4 linked regions of the Arabidopsis thaliana genome follow. The protein of the gene in region 1 binds, or shares a complex with, the protein of each later gene. Each region holds a gene or a part of one and is shown on either strand. Other genes may lie near its edges.

The links.
Region 2: AT1G73875 (region 1) and AT1G27890 share a complex: the UniProt entries of both Arabidopsis thaliana proteins name them as parts of the CCR4-NOT complex.
Region 3: AT1G73875 (region 1) and AT5G10960 share a complex: the UniProt entries of both Arabidopsis thaliana proteins name them as parts of the CCR4-NOT complex.
Region 4: AT1G73875 (region 1) and AT1G27820 share a complex: the UniProt entries of both Arabidopsis thaliana proteins name them as parts of the CCR4-NOT complex.

Annotation. Positions count from the first base shown.
Region 1 is NC_003070.9:27,779,288-27,785,453, reverse strand, and holds AT1G73875 (DNAse I-like superfamily protein), read right to left. Parts: upstream 4,600-6,166; 5' UTR 4,343-4,599; coding exon 4,051-4,342; intron 3,913-4,050; coding exon 3,749-3,912; intron 3,676-3,748; coding exon 3,610-3,675; intron 3,537-3,609; coding exon 3,484-3,536; intron 3,143-3,483; coding exon 3,061-3,142; intron 2,836-3,060; coding exon 2,786-2,835; intron 2,667-2,785; coding exon 2,594-2,666; intron 2,369-2,593; coding exon 2,276-2,368; intron 2,191-2,275; coding exon 2,158-2,190; intron 2,037-2,157; coding exon 1,945-2,036; intron 1,713-1,944; coding exon 1,580-1,712; coding exon of another isoform or gene 1,496-1,579; exon of another isoform or gene 1,389-1,495; coding exon 1,303-1,388; intron 1,174-1,302; coding exon 1,089-1,173; intron 946-1,088; coding exon 883-945; 3' UTR 534-882; downstream 1-533. Other genes in the region: UGT89B1 (UDP-glucosyl transferase 89B1), read right to left, coding at 1-311; BBX16 (B-box type zinc finger protein with CCT domain-containing protein), read right to left, coding at 4,932-5,192, 5,323-6,166. UniProt on the Arabidopsis thaliana protein: Acts as a catalytic component of the CCR4-NOT core complex, which in the nucleus seems to be a general transcription factor, and in the cytoplasm the major mRNA deadenylase involved in mRNA turnover.
Region 2 is NC_003070.9:9,713,609-9,717,143, forward strand, and holds AT1G27890 (Polynucleotidyl transferase, ribonuclease H-like superfamily protein), read right to left. Parts: upstream 1,569-3,535; 5' UTR 1,437-1,568; coding exon 528-1,436; downstream 1-527. Other genes in the region: AT1G27880 (DEAD/DEAH box RNA helicase family protein), read left to right, coding at 1-108, 197-293; AT1G27900 (RNA helicase family protein), read right to left, coding at 2,007-2,154, 2,263-2,438, 2,571-2,731, 2,930-2,999, 3,349-3,499. UniProt on the Arabidopsis thaliana protein: Ubiquitous transcription factor required for a diverse set of processes. It is a component of the CCR4 complex involved in the control of gene expression.
Region 3 is NC_003076.8:3,462,496-3,466,826, forward strand, and holds AT5G10960 (Polynucleotidyl transferase, ribonuclease H-like superfamily protein), read left to right. Parts: upstream 1-1,602; 5' UTR 1,603-1,868; intron 1,869-1,982; 5' UTR 1,983-2,085; coding exon 2,086-2,919; 3' UTR 2,920-3,819; downstream 3,820-4,331. UniProt on the Arabidopsis thaliana protein: Ubiquitous transcription factor required for a diverse set of processes. It is a component of the CCR4 complex involved in the control of gene expression.
Region 4 is NC_003070.9:9,689,816-9,693,096, forward strand, and holds AT1G27820 (Polynucleotidyl transferase, ribonuclease H-like superfamily protein), read left to right. Parts: upstream 1-1,812; coding exon 1,813-2,745; downstream 2,746-3,281. UniProt on the Arabidopsis thaliana protein: Ubiquitous transcription factor required for a diverse set of processes. It is a component of the CCR4 complex involved in the control of gene expression.

The sequences.
Region 1 (6,166 bases):
CCAAGCGCGTGGATCATTAAAGGGAAGCCTGAAGGAGGTAAGTCTTGGACGTTTTCGACGCCGGAGGGGATTGAAGGGTGGGAGGGAAAAGGGAGGATAAGTGGTTCGATGTTAACTACGGCGGAGAGAAGCGGAGAGAGAAAAGGAAGGTTTTTTGGAGTGACTAGGACGGTTATTTTTAAGGCGGCGCCGCCGCGGAGAGCAAGGCGGTGGGTGAAGTCGAGGAGGGGAATCATGTGACCTTGCGCCGGAAATGGGAAGATTAAGACATGGGTCTTTGTCGGCTTGTTGTTTTCCTCGTTCACTTTCATAATGAGCTTTTCTAGTGGGACTTTTTTTTGTTTATGCCGGAATGTTTTGGTGGAGCAAAGAGAAAAGAGTGATTTAAATAGATGTGTGTTAACTGTAAATGGCCGATTTGTGTACCCAATGTATTCCCAACACTTGGAAAGAATGCTTACGACACTTTTGATAATACCGTGTGGTATTTTGATTAATGCAGCGTCAGATGACACTTGAGAAGAGCTTATTTTGGAGTGAACAGATTGAGATACTTTTTACGCAACGTCTCTTACATTGTTTTGCTTCTAGTAGCAAAATGGGTCTTCGCTCCTCATAGGTACACGTCCAGTAACATGCTATTTTGGTATTAACTTTTTAAAAGCAGAAAGAGTAGGTGCAAGTCTTGGGTAGGTAAGGTAAAAAAAAATGTTTCAAGTAAGCAAATCTATGTATGGGAATGAGCCCAAAACTTGTTTATGTTTTACAATTTACTGAATCTGTTTCCGAACTCCAATTCAGAAGCCTCGATGAGCATTCAAAAACCTCAAGGGATGGCCAAGTCAGGTGGCTCGGTTTAGTGGTTGGTGCTAACATTTTGGCTCATTGCCAGTCATTGACAAAGCCGAGTTCACATGCGATAGCGAGATGGTCGCTTCCCCAATTCTGCAAATTTTCATTGGTCAGAGACTTGTATGCAACTCTTCCAATAATCCCAGTTTTTACATTCTTGAAAAAATGAATAGAGTAACTCGAGAAAGTAAAGGGTTGCCCCAGAAAAAAAGTTTAGCCTAGAAAAAAAAACTTACCTCACTAGGTAGTCCACCTGTTCTTCTCAATACATCTGCTGGCAAGGTCTCAAGAACCCTCACAGGAACGAGTTCCTTGGTATGCCTGGGTTCAAAACCTCAGATTAATTATTGAGATTTCAAAATTACATGTGCATATATCACAACATTGATAGCCATATATAATTGAAAGCTCTGATTAATGATTCGGATTTCATAAGCACAACAGACTTACCATATATAATCAACAGTTCCAAGGAACCTGGAATGATACGTTGTTGCCAATGGTTCACCGCGTTGATCTCTAGTTCTATATGTACCCTGCAAGATCTCAGGTCTTAGCATACTAGAAGGATATATAACATCATACAACATGCTACTTTCCCTAAACGTTTTTCAGTATCTAGTATAAAAGAAAGCCACAGTTCCTAAGAACTTAGTTTTCCTGTAAGGCAGATTTCAACTCTTTTCGATGCGTCCACCAGTCGAGAACAAGAAACAAAAACACTTACAGGAACTCCACTATATGCGCTGTTAAGCTTCAGTTGATGTTGGACATGAGTGGTTTCTTGACCACCAGTTGCAAGCTGTAATTCTTCCTGGCTCCACTCATTGAGTAGTGATCCGGAGATGGATGCTGAAGCACTGACGAAAGAGGGAGTTGTTTAGTTAGACTAAATTGAGATAGAAACTTCATCTGAGGATTACGTAGTTGATTAAGCGCAGGCCAAAGAAAAATATAAGTAATCTATCACTCTATCAGTTCATCAGGTAAACAGAAGAGATATAAGCAATCTATCCGTTCATCAGGTAGGCAGAAAAGGAATATGGATACATTATTTAGAGAAACCAAAGACCCCGGTGAATTACAAGCTACCTAAATGCATAATGGTTTCTGAATGACCTCTCCTTTGGTTCCACTTCAGTCTGGCCAGAAATTTGCCTGCGATCGTGAAGTTGTGTATCCAACTGTCCAAAATTAAAAAAGGAATATAAAGAGTTCATTCTAACTTTCCCAGTAAAGAAAGGAAAAAAATTATGACCAGGCGAAATGTAAAAGAAAGAGTCCAGAACCCTCAATGGAACTCACATCAGCTGAAGCTATGAAATCATAGATTGCACTCTGTACAGCAAATCCAGAGTAAGTTTTAGAATTCAGCTAAAAAATAAGTATTAGAACAAAAAAAACAAAAGTTGGTAGAGATCACCTGTGGAGTGCTATTCAGATCACCTGCAATCGCCACAGGAATATTTCCCCATTCCTGTGATAGCTTGTAAGCCTTCTCCAGAAAGAGTCTTACCTATAAGTTATGACATATCAAATATCAAGAAATGAGCGAGCTACTTAGAATTTCAATGAAGTTTCAATACTGACAGGCATTGATGTACTGATGAATACCATAAAATAGTACTAGCTAAAAAATTGACATTTCTAAACTCAGGATGTGTAGTGACAGAAATGCTCTACCGATTTTATGGATAAGCCAGTTTTTATCAGAATTTTGTAAGGATCTAGCAAGACATACCTGGCCAAGCTTGATATCCCCACGCTTAGGATTGAATAGGACATGTATATTCCCAACCACTAGCCTTCGAGGACTAGTAGAAGTTTGCATAAATCAACCAAACATGGAAGTGCGCATAAAATTTAGTAAGGATCTTAAAAGTAAGTTCAATATTCACTCCAGTAAAGGAATCAGAACAGAACTCAGACATACTCTGATGATCGCACCCGTAATTTAGACTTTGGGTCCTCCTCACAGTTCATCTGTTCCGTAATAGACAATCAAGTAAATTAATTAATTGCAAGGGCTGAAACTAAGAAAATTAAGCAATTAGCCTGCAAAGCTGAAAACACAACAGGAGGGAAAAATATATAAAATAATGCCCACAATTAAGCTTGTCATATCTCTGTGCTTCTAGAATCAAGAAAAGACAGAGGAGAAAAGAGGGGGAAGACGACAATACAGAAATAACTTAAAACGGTGCATACCTCTAAAACACAAAGTTGAGCAACATTGTTTCGCATACCAAATTTATCAAACTCTATATGTTGATGGTCTAGAAGTTCAAATCTGCATTCACAGCAGAAATATAACATAAATGATGAAACTAGTAGAGTAAGAGTCTAATACAAAATAAATAACATCGAGAACAATAGAAAGCAAAGCTTTCAGCCTTGAACAATATATTGTGAAGCCAAGGTCAAAGCTGATAACATAACACAACGTGAACCTACCATTAACAATTTCGAAACATTCAAAACAGATAACTAGAAGATCTAATTTATCTCGTTCCAAAAGAGAGATATTCCCTGTAGACAATTCAAATGGCTAGATTCCTGATCCTGACTCCAGCATATAGAGACTTCCCACCACATTAAAAATGATCCTAAATAGAAAAAAACTGAACTTACAGATTCTCTTTCCAAAATATAGCACAACCATCACTCGCTTCTCCAGTCCGACTCTAAAAAATACTAAATGTATGAAAAAGGCACCATTGCATACAAGGTAATAAAGCTTTTGACTCGTATATATACCTTGTGAACACCTCGAAATCCTCTATTTTTAAGAAGAACATCTAAATCATCAAAGCGGTCAACCTCCTGCAATAAATTTGGACATGAGAATGCAATGAAACTTAAATAGTGTAGATCTAGGCAATCCCCTGGAACTTGCCTGAAGACATAAGATGCTTGCATTGTAACGACTAATCTCCTTGCATATGAGATGTTTCCGTCTACTCCACTCTAAGTGCTTCCGCGGAACATTGTAATACAAGTCCATGTGGTTCGACGCATTGTCAACACCAAGTAGATTGTACGAAACTAATACTAATTTATCTGAAGAATTGAAAAGGAGATATCAAGTTTTTCATACACATAAGATAAAAATGTGTTCAAAGTACGGAATGTGATACTTCGTGAAGCTAATAAAAGCATATAAGTGCATTATTCAGTGTGATTGCAATGCACACAGACCTGCTAGATTTTCAAAATTGTTTGCGGAAAACACCCATTCGCGCTCAACGGAACTCGAGATCTTCTCCTTAGTTCTCCGTCGCCGGCGGAGAGAAGACTTACTATGTCTGACAGGTTTACAATCACGCTGGCTGAATCCCGGCGTAAAAGAACGGTGAGGTTTTAAGGTTATTGACTCCTTCCTATTCGATTTCTCGTATACGTTCTCCGATTGTTCCGAAATCGAGTTACGCTTCCGCTTGGTGATGGTGATTGAGTTCGCCGTCGTGTTCTTACGCTCGTATCCGCTCATGTCAATCGTAGCAAGTCGGCGGCGCGTGAGCTATGCGTCAACCTTGTGAAGTTAACCAAATTCAGTCGGTTGAAATTCACGATTTTTACTGGTTAACGATTAAAATACGTACTTGATAACCCAAACCGGTTGGCTTAAGTAGTTGCCTAGTTGGGCTCTTTATGTTGGTTTTTTTAATTGTGTGATGGGCTATTCAGCCATAACTAGGCCTTAATGGCTTTTATTTCTTGCTTCATTTGTAAATTGTTGGAAATGGCATGTTCTAATTTGAACTTGTTTCTTGTTTTTTTTTTGTTTTTTTTAATTACACTTGTTTTCTTTGTAACATGTCTTCGCTACGAATTTTTTAGTGTTCGTTATTATCACACATTATGGCTTTTTTCTCCAATTCATTTGATAAACAAAGAGTTTTCATTTGATATATACAATAAATTACTCAATCAATCAATCTATAAAATCATAGTTGCCGGCTACAAGTCTACACAACCATCGGCCCCAAGAGTTTCAGTTCATTATTCAGTACATTACGACAATTACTTCAAAGGTCTTAATTACAAGATCTTTAAAGTGTTGATTAAAGTAAATCAAATCACGTCAAAAGTGACGTCCTCTTCACGAAACGACCTTTGATTCGAGGTCTCTGCTCAGCGTTAAGTTTCCGAACCTCATATCTTATTTTCTTTGAGAACAACCTCGTCCTCCGCTTCTCCTTGTACCTCAAAACCCTCGCCTCTCTCTCCCCGTCCGATCCTCCTCCGTCTCTCCCTTGCTGACGTGTCACCGATCCGTCGCTCGACATCAATTTCTCGTACCCACCCACAACATGAGGCAGACACGTGTTCCCTCCCAACTGGATCAGTGAACTTTATAACGTTATTTCGTCTTTTATAATCAATATATATCAGCTCAAAGTCAACGGAACTCGACACTACTAAAGACTAACATAGAGATGAGAGATATAGCTAGAGACACCAACTTACCATGCACTCCGGTTTGATTCCGGTTTTCCACGGCGAACCGTGATTATCCCAAGCACTAATCACAGCTCCATAATCTAATCTCAGAAACAAACTTGTCTTTCTATCTTTATCATTTGATGCTTCTCTATCACTATCCTTTGATCCTCCATTTTCACACTTGGCTTCTTCTTCTTCTTCATCTTCATCTTTCACCCTCTTCAAATCCTTACAATTAATCTCAAACCCTACTTTATTCTCTTCTTTGATGACTCCAACATCGTTTGGTTCCTTGAATCCCAAGCAAAGTTGTTCTTCCTCAAGTAAACTCTCCACGTCCATAGTGAGATCCTCAAGATCCATATCCAATGGCACGAACCCCATAAAACCTTCATCGTCCATGATTGCCTTCTCGACTTCTCCTAATTCTCCATTAGTAGTAGTGTTATTGACTTCATCAGGAACTAAGCAAAAGCCGTTTATATCATCAATCAGCATGTCTGAGAAAGGATCGAAAACAGGCACGCAACAATTCAGACTCTCCTCGGTTTCTTCTACGGAGGAGAACGAGAAAAAGCCATCATCTTCGTCTCCACCAAGCTCCGGAACAAGAGGATCGTTTGACTCGATTTGCAACAACTTCTCAAACGCACAACTCTTGCTCCTAGGCGTTCTCGCCTTTCTCCTGAATCCTTCGTACCATACCGACGTCGTTTTGTCTGCCGTCTCCGTCGGCGAAGATGATTGTAACCGGACACGTTCGTGCCGTTTCGCTAAATGGTTAGCCGAGTGGATCGAGGCGTCGCAGCTTTGGCATAGGAAAGCGTCATCGGCTGGACAGTACCAACTAGCACGTGATCTCTTCATG
Region 2 (3,535 bases), about 18 Mb from region 1:
GCAGAGTAATCGCCAAGCCAAATTCACACCAAGAGCCATCGCGAGAATAATGCACGGAGTTGGAAGTCCAGCTTTTCCGAATTCAGTCTGGTCCAAGACTCATTTCTGGTATATTCATCATCATCAGCTAAACCAAGCCATGCAAGTTATTGTTTGGTGATGGTACATGTGATTTAATTGAAATATGGCTTTGCAGGGGAAGGTATATGAACGTAGACTTCCGAGTGATAATGGAAGCGGCACAAACAGAGTTGTTCAATTTTGTTGACAGGAACGCAGCTTTAGCTACATAACATAAGATTAGAGGCTTTGAGTAGATTCTTAGGATATTTAAATTTATTTGTATTGTATTCTAGATTCATTGAAAGTATCCAGTAAAGAGAAATTGTGTCATATGAGAGTTGAGAGAATTGTTTTGATCGACAAGAAAAGATGAAAGTTAATCTTTAGTATTTAAAGAAACATCTGATAAAACTAGAAATTATACATAATAGCAGAGCAAGTCATGTTAAACAAACATTCAGGCATCACAAAACGTAGTTCCTTCCTTGGACCGGCATCCCAAAGTAACCACCACCAAAATACGGGTTCGGGTGATGAGCAGCAAACATCACCGATCTCGGTCTCGGTATAGGTATCGGTATTGGGATGTAACATCTAGTCATCATAAGCTGCTGCTGCTCTAGTTGATATTGCTGATGATCAACTCGTCTTACACACTGCTTTCTACTATTGAGCAAATCGAAAGTCAACTTAGTGAAGACACGAGCCGTCAATTCACTGTCTGAGCCAGCGTGATGAGCTTTTCCAACACGTTTCATCTGCAACACATCAGCTATTCTCTGTAGTCCGAATCGGCTACTTAGTCCGCTGCATGATTCAGCGATTTTCTTTACGTCAAAAACAAACTTTCCCAAAAGCTGCTCGACGGTCTCGTGAAACTCTTCCTTAGTCTCCGGTAACGGTTTCCCTCCCGTTAAGCCTTTAACGAGATAAGCATTGTCGTAAGAGCCTTGAAAATTCACCCAAGTTATCTTTCCGTCCTTCTCCTTGAGAATCTGAGAAAAGTCTCTAAAGAATTCTTCGATTCCAATACCTTCCTCTCCGATCTTGTCCAGATTGAGACCATTGCTTTTGAGAAAAGCTATGGACTTATCGTTTTTGAAGCACTTATGTTCGTTGAAATCTGACAAGTTTATTTCCCAGGTTTTAGTGATTCCTCTTCTGTCGAATAGCGTGAAACCTAACTGGATGAGATGGGTGTTGTCCACATTGAACTTCATGTCTCTGTAACGAATTTCCTCACTCGCGTCCATCGGAGTCTCCTTTAAGCATCCGGGAAACTCTGTGTCGATAGCGATGGAACTAAAATGTTTCAAACAATCTCTTATCGAATCCATCTCTACTTCCTTGTTCCATCTCCAAACTTCACCCATCTCTCTCGGATTTTGAAGACTGAAACAGTTTGTTTATCTGAAATACTAATCTCTCTCTCTATCTGATTTCGGAGACTCGAATACTAATAGCAGTGGGAGTTTCCTTTTTTCTTACGTCGCCGGAAAGTTTCCATTTTTTTCCAGTCAAAAAGTTCGTGTTGACTTTTATCACTCCTAATTTAATTCTTGTTGGACACGAGATTTCCATTTTCCTCTCAAAAGCCCAAAATAAGAGAAGCCTGTTTCCGAAGCGGTTTACAATTTTAATACTAAACCGAATTAAATCACTAAACCGAAGTCTGACTAATACCAAAACCTTTTTCTTTTCTTTTTTCGTGTAAACATTATCATCTTTTAAACATAATACTAAGAACATACCAAATTGGGTTAAAAATTTAAAACTCATGTCGAATGAGAATAAAGAAAAGTTTAAGTTGAGCCAAAAAAAAAAAAAACAGAACATACAAAATTTGAAAATTGTCTCTAATAACAAATCTTCTACAGAAAGCTTCTCTTTTCTATTCTTTATAGGGCTAGTTGAATCTTGTATTTATGTTTGAGACATCAAATTTATTTCTGTCCTTTACGAGCAAGAAAGCGTTCTCTGGCTGCTTCAATCCGACTCTCAACATTTTCAGAAACTGCAGGTGTTTCTGCATTGTTTTTAGACAACTCCGTCTTCTCCTCAGGTACTTTGAAAGAGGGAGCCGGTCCACCGCTACATGGCAGATTAAATGATACCGATCAATTACTGAATCCAAGACCAGACAAGAAAAAGCTAGAACAAGACTGGATTGAACTAGTAAAGAGTAATGTTTGTTTTTACCTCAATTTTCTGACATTTAATTTCTCGATCTTTCTTTTGATGGGAGCCACCCATGCCATATCTACTGCACAAACATTCCGCATGAACGGACGTGTGGTGGAAATCAGCTCATGGTACACTACGTAGTTAGGCATCATTCCGTCATTGTCGGCACTCAATACAGATGATGGATGCACCTAGAATCAACCAAAAACGTCAATATGTCGATGATCATACGAAACTGGAAATGCTTACATATCTGAGCTACTGATGTAATAGAAAATCTAACACTGTAACAGATAAATGAGACTTGGATTGAGAAGTAATGCCTGGACTAGCTGGGACTGGAAACTAAGAGTCCGGTATCCATTGTGACGAAGCATTCTCTCAGCAATTTGGTTTGCATTACCAACGCATAGAGCTTTCCTCAACTTCCTGTAGTCGTCTCGGCTTGAACTCTTCCTACCATCTGCCCCAACTTCCAATCGATCTAGTTTGTCAAGGAGACCAAATATTTTAGTGACGGTTGGTTAGGTATGACACAGCCACCTATCACATCTCACAAGATAAAAGAGTGATGTTGACATAAACTCTGGTTCTGTTGGAGGCATAACCATTTAGGGTGAAAGCCATAGAGAAATAATTATATATTCTTTCACGGAATCTTCTTGTCATGAAACAATCTAACCTTTGGATATTTTCTGCATAATCTGACATAACTGTCTTCTAACATCTTTGACAAACACCATCCCTCGCACCTGCAAATTATTTTTCAACAAAAGTTATCTTTCTTATTGGCATAAGGAACCCACGTAATAATGTACCGAAATAGACTATCTAAACAAAGGTAGTAAATTTCAGTAACTCCCATAATTGTTGGTTATAAAACTGTATGAAGCAGAAAATACAAACATTGACGCCCATCGGAGTCAGGTCTCAACAATGAAGGGATTTTCTATGCTATATAGATTGTATTAACTGCAGAGACAGCATATAACTGACCACCTTCTGAAGTAACAATGCAGTAAGGCTTTTGATGTCACCATGCTTTTCACTTGGAATACTCGAGAATAGATAAGGAAGGAAGGAAGAAAATGGAACAATTACCTGCATGCCGTTCTCTTTGCACCATACAGGATCATAATTAGTACGGTCCCAAGATTCGAAAATCTGTAGCAGTTGAATGTGATCACCATATCCGGATCCATTAGGAAGATTAGAATCTTCATCATGTTTCCTCTTCTTTTCACTGGGTTTACTATCATGCAAGCAAAAACCATAAAGACAAGAGTTG
Region 3 (4,331 bases), on another chromosome or scaffold:
AATCTAAATTATATGTGCACGTGATATTAAAGAATTTATCTACGTTAAATACATGCAACTGTTTAAATAATTCTTTCTAATTTAAGTAACAAAAATTTCAATTTTAGTTTCTATTTTCGTTTTTTTCGATTTTGATTTTAAATATAGAATTCTATTTAGATTTTAGATGAGCAAGCAATTACACGGTGAGACATATTTTTGGAGGGTAACAATTAAGTAAATTTTGTTATATATATAAGAACAATTATGCAGAAACTTTCATGTTTGGTATGTGTTGGATTCCAGAAGAAATTTCCTAAAAATGGTCGGATGATGAAACCACCATCTAATATTTCGTGACTTGACATTACTTGTTTATTTTTTTTAATTTATAGAAAAAGGTACACAATTATTTGATATAAAACAAGCTAATACATTAGTTTATATAAAAACGAATTAATTATTACAAAACAATGGATTATGCTTGAGGGTAAGTGGGAAGCACGATGATGCCTTGACTCCGTAATAATAATTAGAATTAAAATTCCTTTATCCCCTTTCTTCCTAATAGTTGTCTTTTTTTGTAAAAAAAAAAAGAACTTTGGTCCTCGTTTGAGTTGGAGAATCTTTTCATGTAATAATTTTAAGAAGAAAAACTGATTACGCTGGTGAAACTTGAAAGTTTTTTTCTAAAATAAATAAATCTAAAATGATTCTATTCATGAACGAAGATGATTGTAACAAGTGATGCATGTATCTCTATCAAACGTCTTCCCATTCGTTGTATGATTGCATTAATATTGGCCACTTGTAACTTGTAAGGTAGAAATCCCAAAGTCAATTCTATTATAATTAAAATTACTTTGTTTTGTTTAACAATTATGCTAACAAATCCTTCTTAATAACAAGATAACATAAATCTAAAATCCTTTTTTTGAGTTGAAAAAAAACAAGATACCATATTTTCAATTAATTGGCAGAACTACATAGGAAACAAATCCGAAATTGAAGAGTTTACATAGAAGAAAAAAAAACAGAAATAAAAGAGTTTACCTGGAAAATAATCAAATATTATGTTCTTTCAAATTTTCGACAAAAAAAAAAATTGATATTCTTTCAATTTTGTGAGATAATCAGTACAGAAATTATTAAAATGTGATATAAAATTGCGAGACAATCCGTAGGAATATTATTACCAAATGATATAAAACTGAGTTAAAATTGTAAGAAAAAGAAGTTTTAAGGTTCTTCAAATCATCTAGCTGACTAGCTCCATAGCAAAAATAAATAATTTTGATTGTTTATTAGCACAATCTGTTTCTTAACCATATAAATTTAGACTTGTACAAAAATCAAAATGCAGTTTAGTTTATACAACTTTTCCTATAACTATAAAGTTCGATCGTCATAATAAGGTATAACAATTTAACTCTAGTACCAAATGCTATAAAATACATAAAATTTAAGAATAATGGAGGTAGGTCTACAAAGCAAAAGAAAAAAAAAAGATCATGGAAGTTACAAACGAACGGAATTTCCGTGATACACATAAATAAAAATTGGTCATCATATCACACAATTCGCATCATTAAAATAATTAGAAAACGGACAATACGGATAAAATAATTGGTAACTGGCCAAAACGTAATGATTGATGTAAGAAGACGCACGGCAAAACGTCGTCGTATAAGCTTTTCATCGTCAAACAAAACGGCTTCGTTTCAAGGCTCACACTTGTCTTTATTTATCACTTCATCTTCTCCAAAGCCATACCACTTGAAACCTCTCTCTCTGGTTGACCCGATAATTTCTCTCTCGCAGACGCACAGATCTCTCTTCGAATCTGCTAGATCTGTTCCTTTTCTTACATCTGTATTGCGAAACCTCTGGTAATTTCATACTTTCATGTCTCTCCGTTTCATTTCGATTTTCGTTTCACAGCTAGGGTTTGCTTTTTGTTACATCGATTTCTGATTTTCCTGGTGTTGTTGCCTCTTCCTCAGATCGGAAGGTTTCGTTTACAGATCTACCGATACGAGTTTCGCAGTATTTCCGAGTTCCGACGTATGCTTTGTTTTCAGATCTGGGTTTGTTGTATATCTAGAAATGGCGGAGACTTTGAAAGAAGATTCGATTATGATTCGAGAGGTTTGGGATTACAATTTGGTTGAAGAATTCGCGTTGATCCGTGAGATTGTTGACAAATTCAGCTATATCGCTATGGATACTGAGTTTCCAGGTGTGGTTTTGAAGCCTGTTGCTACTTTCAAGTACAATAACGATCTTAACTACAGGACTCTCAAGGAAAATGTCGATTTGTTGAAATTGATTCAAGTTGGGTTAACTTTTTCTGATGAGAATGGGAATCTTCCGACTTGTGGGACGGATAAGTTCTGCATCTGGCAATTCAATTTCCGTGAGTTCAACATCGGTGAGGATATCTACGCGAGTGAGTCTATTGAGCTGTTGCGTCAGTGTGGGATTGATTTCAAGAAGAACATTGAGAAAGGTATTGATGTGGTTAGGTTTGGTGAGCTTATGATGTCGTCTGGGATTGTTTTGAACGATGCTATCTCGTGGGTTACGTTCCATGGTGGATATGATTTCGGGTATTTGGTTAAGTTGTTGACTTGTAAGGAATTGCCTCTCAAGCAAGCTGATTTCTTCAAGCTTCTGTATGTGTATTTCCCTACGGTTTACGATATCAAGCACTTGATGACGTTCTGCAACGGACTGTTTGGTGGATTGAACAGACTTGCGGAGCTTATGGGAGTGGAGAGAGTTGGGATTTGTCATCAAGCTGGGTCGGATAGCTTGCTCACCTTAGGGTCGTTTAGGAAGCTCAAGGAACGTTATTTCCCGGGATCAACTGAGAAATACACTGGAGTCTTGTATGGTCTAGGTGTGGAAGATGGTACTACTACTACTGTTGCTAATTAAGAAGAAAGGAATGAAAGATACTTTGAAAATTCCAGGGAAGTGCGATTAGATATATTTCTTTAGTCTTTGTGAGTGTGAGAAGACCAAAATAGAATCGTCGTTGTGTAAATTGGCAAATTGGTGTTAGTAAGTGACTTGTTGTGTCTTTGTTGCTTTGTTTTCAGGAAAACCCCTTGTGATCAAAATTTGAGGGGTTTTTGTTTTAGCTTGAGTTTCTGAATGTATATCAATTCAGCTACCCGTTTATTTAATAAATAATCTCCAATTTTAATTTTTCTTCTCTTTTCTTTTTGTGTGTGTTTTCTTCTTACTAGTGACCAATGTAACTTGACAGTGGCTTCTTGTAGTAGCGTTTGCATGTCTCAGCTTGCAGTTACTGTGTAATTCTTTGTAACCATACCAGTTTGAAGATGCAAACTGGTAAGTTTTATGCTTAAGAGAATGTTGAATCTTCCTGTGTTCTTCTTTCCCTCTTCGTTGATACAAGTTGATAAGGAGAACAATGAACTGCTTATGCTAGAGGTTATATGTGTTACATTGTTTAAAAAACAGAGCTATGGTAATCGATTGATGTATAGATTTGTTATTTAGGTGTTTATGATGTAAGTGGTATCATGTCATGGTTAATGTGGAGGAGAATCACATATGTATGCTGTTGCATTCGCCAATCACCTCAATAGCCAATTTATTATCATATTGTCAATGAGTAGCATTCTAATGCAATCAATGTTTTGTTGGGCAAGTATTCAGACGTCATCTGAGTCGCAAGTGGTACAGAAGATTACGAGATTTGACTGATTGAGACGTCGTAGCTCATTCAATTGCCGAAGAAAAAAAAAAAAGTATCAGCCTGTTGGAAGTATTATGTCAAAATGTGGATTTGTGTATGAACTCAGTTTCCATCAAGATAATTAAATCTAAGTTTCTCAAAACCTTAAATATTTCATTACACGAACTTGTTTGATGATCGAAAACATATGATCCAATAGCAACACGACACGAGAAATAAAGTAAAAAGAAGAAAACAACAGCAATACGGCAAAAGTCCGAGTCACTATTATGTAGGTGTGGCAGAGAATCAAATCTACTTCTTATTACAGAAGAAACAGTGTACTTGCTAGTCCTGTCTTTAACGGCTTCTCTGAGTCTCTTCACGTGTGTTTGTGTGTTGGGAATTGGGATTCTGATTTGGGCCTTTGTTGTGTGGGCTTTGATCAGAGGTGGGAGAACGTTTTTACCAAGGTTGAATTGGGATTCTGATTTGGGCATGTTTGTTGTTTTAGGGTTTAGTTATTATCAAATGACCACTATTGGCTATTGCTTTGCTTTAGGTAACCAAAAAAACGTTACATATTTAAATAAAAATGTGTAACACAGTGCGGACGAAATAGCATCAAAATTATTTATATACA
Region 4 (3,281 bases), about 18 Mb from region 1:
CCAATAAACGACTGAATTTCCCTGGATGTTGAGCAGTCTGTTGAGTGAGACTGACGTCTTCCTCAAGATTTCCTTGTACATATTCTTCTACTATTACATCGTTCCACTTGTTGTAATCGTATTCTTCGCCAATACCTTCACTACCGTCTGTGGTAGGATACAGGGTACTTCCCCCAATAGATCCATCCACACCAAGATAATCATCACACCCATCATCATCTTCGTTGCCCTCCTCCAATTCATCCGCTTCTGTTGTATCGTCTTCAACATCGGCTTGCTCCTCTGCATCCTCATTATTTTCATCAACATTTGTAGCACTATCAAACACACGGTCACTTTCAGAAACTTCACCATGAGACCTAGAGACAGTATTCCCGAACGCCTTCACTGTATTATTGAAAGAGACGAACAAGTTGAGAGAAAGATACCCACCACGAACCAAAAAAAACGTCTCGAGACCCATCTGACTGTCAATGTATACAGGAGGGCGTTTAGTATCTATCAGCACTGACATTTCACCCGGCATCCAGTAGCTAATTATGGGATTGATCTCGGTGGACTTCAAACTGAAAGCCTCTCGGAGTGTACGGACAAAGTCCGTGTACGTCATGGTTTCCTGAACGCGTACACAACGACCAAAGATGCCTTCCTCAGGTTCAAATTTCCATTCTCCTTCTTTGCATTTCCACTCACCGACCATGGTAAATACGGGAATATCCATAACCCACCTGCATCATAAATTCAGGAGACACACATTAAATGCAACTGAAAAATACTATACATATAAAAAACAAATGGAATGTCGATACTACACATTTATAAACCTAAATACCAATTATCATTTGACTATTTTAAACAAACAAATATAGATTTTGCAAATATTCTGATAAAAAAATGGAGTTCGAACACAATCAAGATCCTAATATGACATAAAAAAAACTTCTTAAAAGAACTTCATTACTTACACGAGCAATGCTCCAAACTTGGTACAAAAACAAGATCAACACTTCTTCAGCAGCAATGTACGTTCGCAATAATTCTTTGTTCCTGGGTTCATCTTCTTCATCTCAACAAATTTTTTTTTAATTATTATTAATAATTTTTTTAATATTATTTGATGTAATGATGATTTTGCATTAATTGTGACAATAGTCACATCTAAACTTTTTGGGGGCATTAAATGTTGATGTCACTTCGGAATAATCTCACTTGTAACGGAACCGAATCGCGTCAACGTGAACAAAAAATCTTCAACTGAACCGGAACAGTGTACGTAACTAAACCTGCTAAACTAAACCGTACATTTCAACAGTTGCTAAGAGAGAAACGCAAGGGCAGAAACGTCATTTTGCAGGCGAAAAGACAAATGGTGAAAACCACATTTGACTTTGACAATCCATGGAAATAAAACATGGTCAACGGATGTGGCCTGCAATTTACCCTATTTTCTATTCACAGTAAAAAATGATTATAAAGTTATTAAAATCTATTTAAACAAATATCTAGTTGCTCTATATAAAATATACATAATTATGTGCGAAAAACAATCACCGCACTAAGTTAGTTTTTTTTTTTTCTTTGGCTTTTAAGAGAAAAATGGAAATTCTCGTGTTTAACAAGAATTAGGAGAAACAAAAAGGAAATTTTGTGTTGTGCCTTAAAAAAAAAAGGAAACTGAAGTCTGTGTTACTCTACATAATCTAATCTCCTCTAACAACAATCCTAATAACCAAACGAAAATAAATTCAGGTGGCTTCTCGCTTTTCTCTTTCAGAAAAACAAACGTTTTTTTCTTTCGTAGTTTCGTTCGAGATGAAGCAAATTAGTAGCGGTGAAGTTTGGAGATGGAACAAGGAAGTAGAGATGAATTCGATAAGAGATTGTTTGAAACATTGTAGTTCCATCGCTATCGACACAGAGTTTCCCGGATGCTTAAAGGAGACTCCGATGGACGCGAGTGAGGAAATTCGTTACAGAGACATGAAGTTCAATGTGGACAACACCCATCTCATCCAGTTAGGTTTCACGCTATTCGACAGAAGAGGATTCGCTAAAACCTGGGAAATAAACTTGTCAGATTTCGACGAACATAAGTGCTTCAAAAACGATAAGTCCATTGCGTTTCTGAAAAGCAATGGTCTCAATCTGGACAAGATCAGAGAGGAAGGTATTGGAATCGATGAATTCTTTAGAGACTTTTCTCAGATTCTCACGGAGAAGGACGGAAAGATAACTTGGGTGAATTTTCAAGGCTCTTACGACAATGCTTATCTCGTTAAAGGCTTAACGGGAGGGAAACCGTTACCGGAGACTAAGGAAGAGTTTCACGAGACCGTCCAGCAGCTTTTGGGAAAGTTTGTTTTTGACGTAAAGAAAATCGCTGAATCATGCAGCGGACTAAGTAGCCAATTCGGACTACAGAGAATAGCTGATGTGTTGCAGATGAAACGTGTTGGAAAAGCTCATCACGCTGGCTCAGACAGTGAATTGACGGCTCGTGTCTTCACTAAGTTGACTTTCGATTTGCTTAATAGTAGAAAGCAGAGTGTAAGACGAGTTGATCATCAGCAATTTCAACTAGAGCAGCAACAGCATCAGCAGTTTATGATGACTAGATGTTACATCCCGATACCGATGCCGATACCGAGACCGAGACCGGTGATGTTTGCTGCTCATCACCAGAACCCGTATTTTGGTGGTGGTTACTTTAGGATGCCGGTCCAAGGAATGAACTATGTTTTGTGATCCCTGAATGTTTGTTTAACATGACTTGCTCTGCTATTATGTATAATTTCTAGTTTTATCAGATGTTTCTTTAAATACTAAAGATTAACTTTCATCTTTTCTTGTCGATCAAAACAATTCTCTTAACTCTCATATGACACAATTTCTCTTTACTGGATACTTTTAATGAATCTAAAAAGTTAGAATACAGTACAAATAAATTTAAATATCTTAGAATCTACTCAAAGCCTCTAATCTTATGTTATGTAGCTAAAGCTGCGTTCCTGTCAACAAAATTGAACAACTCTGTTTGTGCCGCTTCCATTTTCACACGGAAGTCTACGCACATGAGCTATAAACCACGCGGTATTTATTAAGTTGCCAACTTGGTCATTTACAAAAAGTCGAATAGGCTGCAACTACATTCTGCAAATTTTGTAAAGGGTGAAACTACCCAGTAAAAGAACTGTGTTCAAATAGATTTTTATTATTTTACTTTTACACTTTGACGTAGTTATCTTTAGTTACAAATTTATGGTCTTCGCCGAATAAAGAGA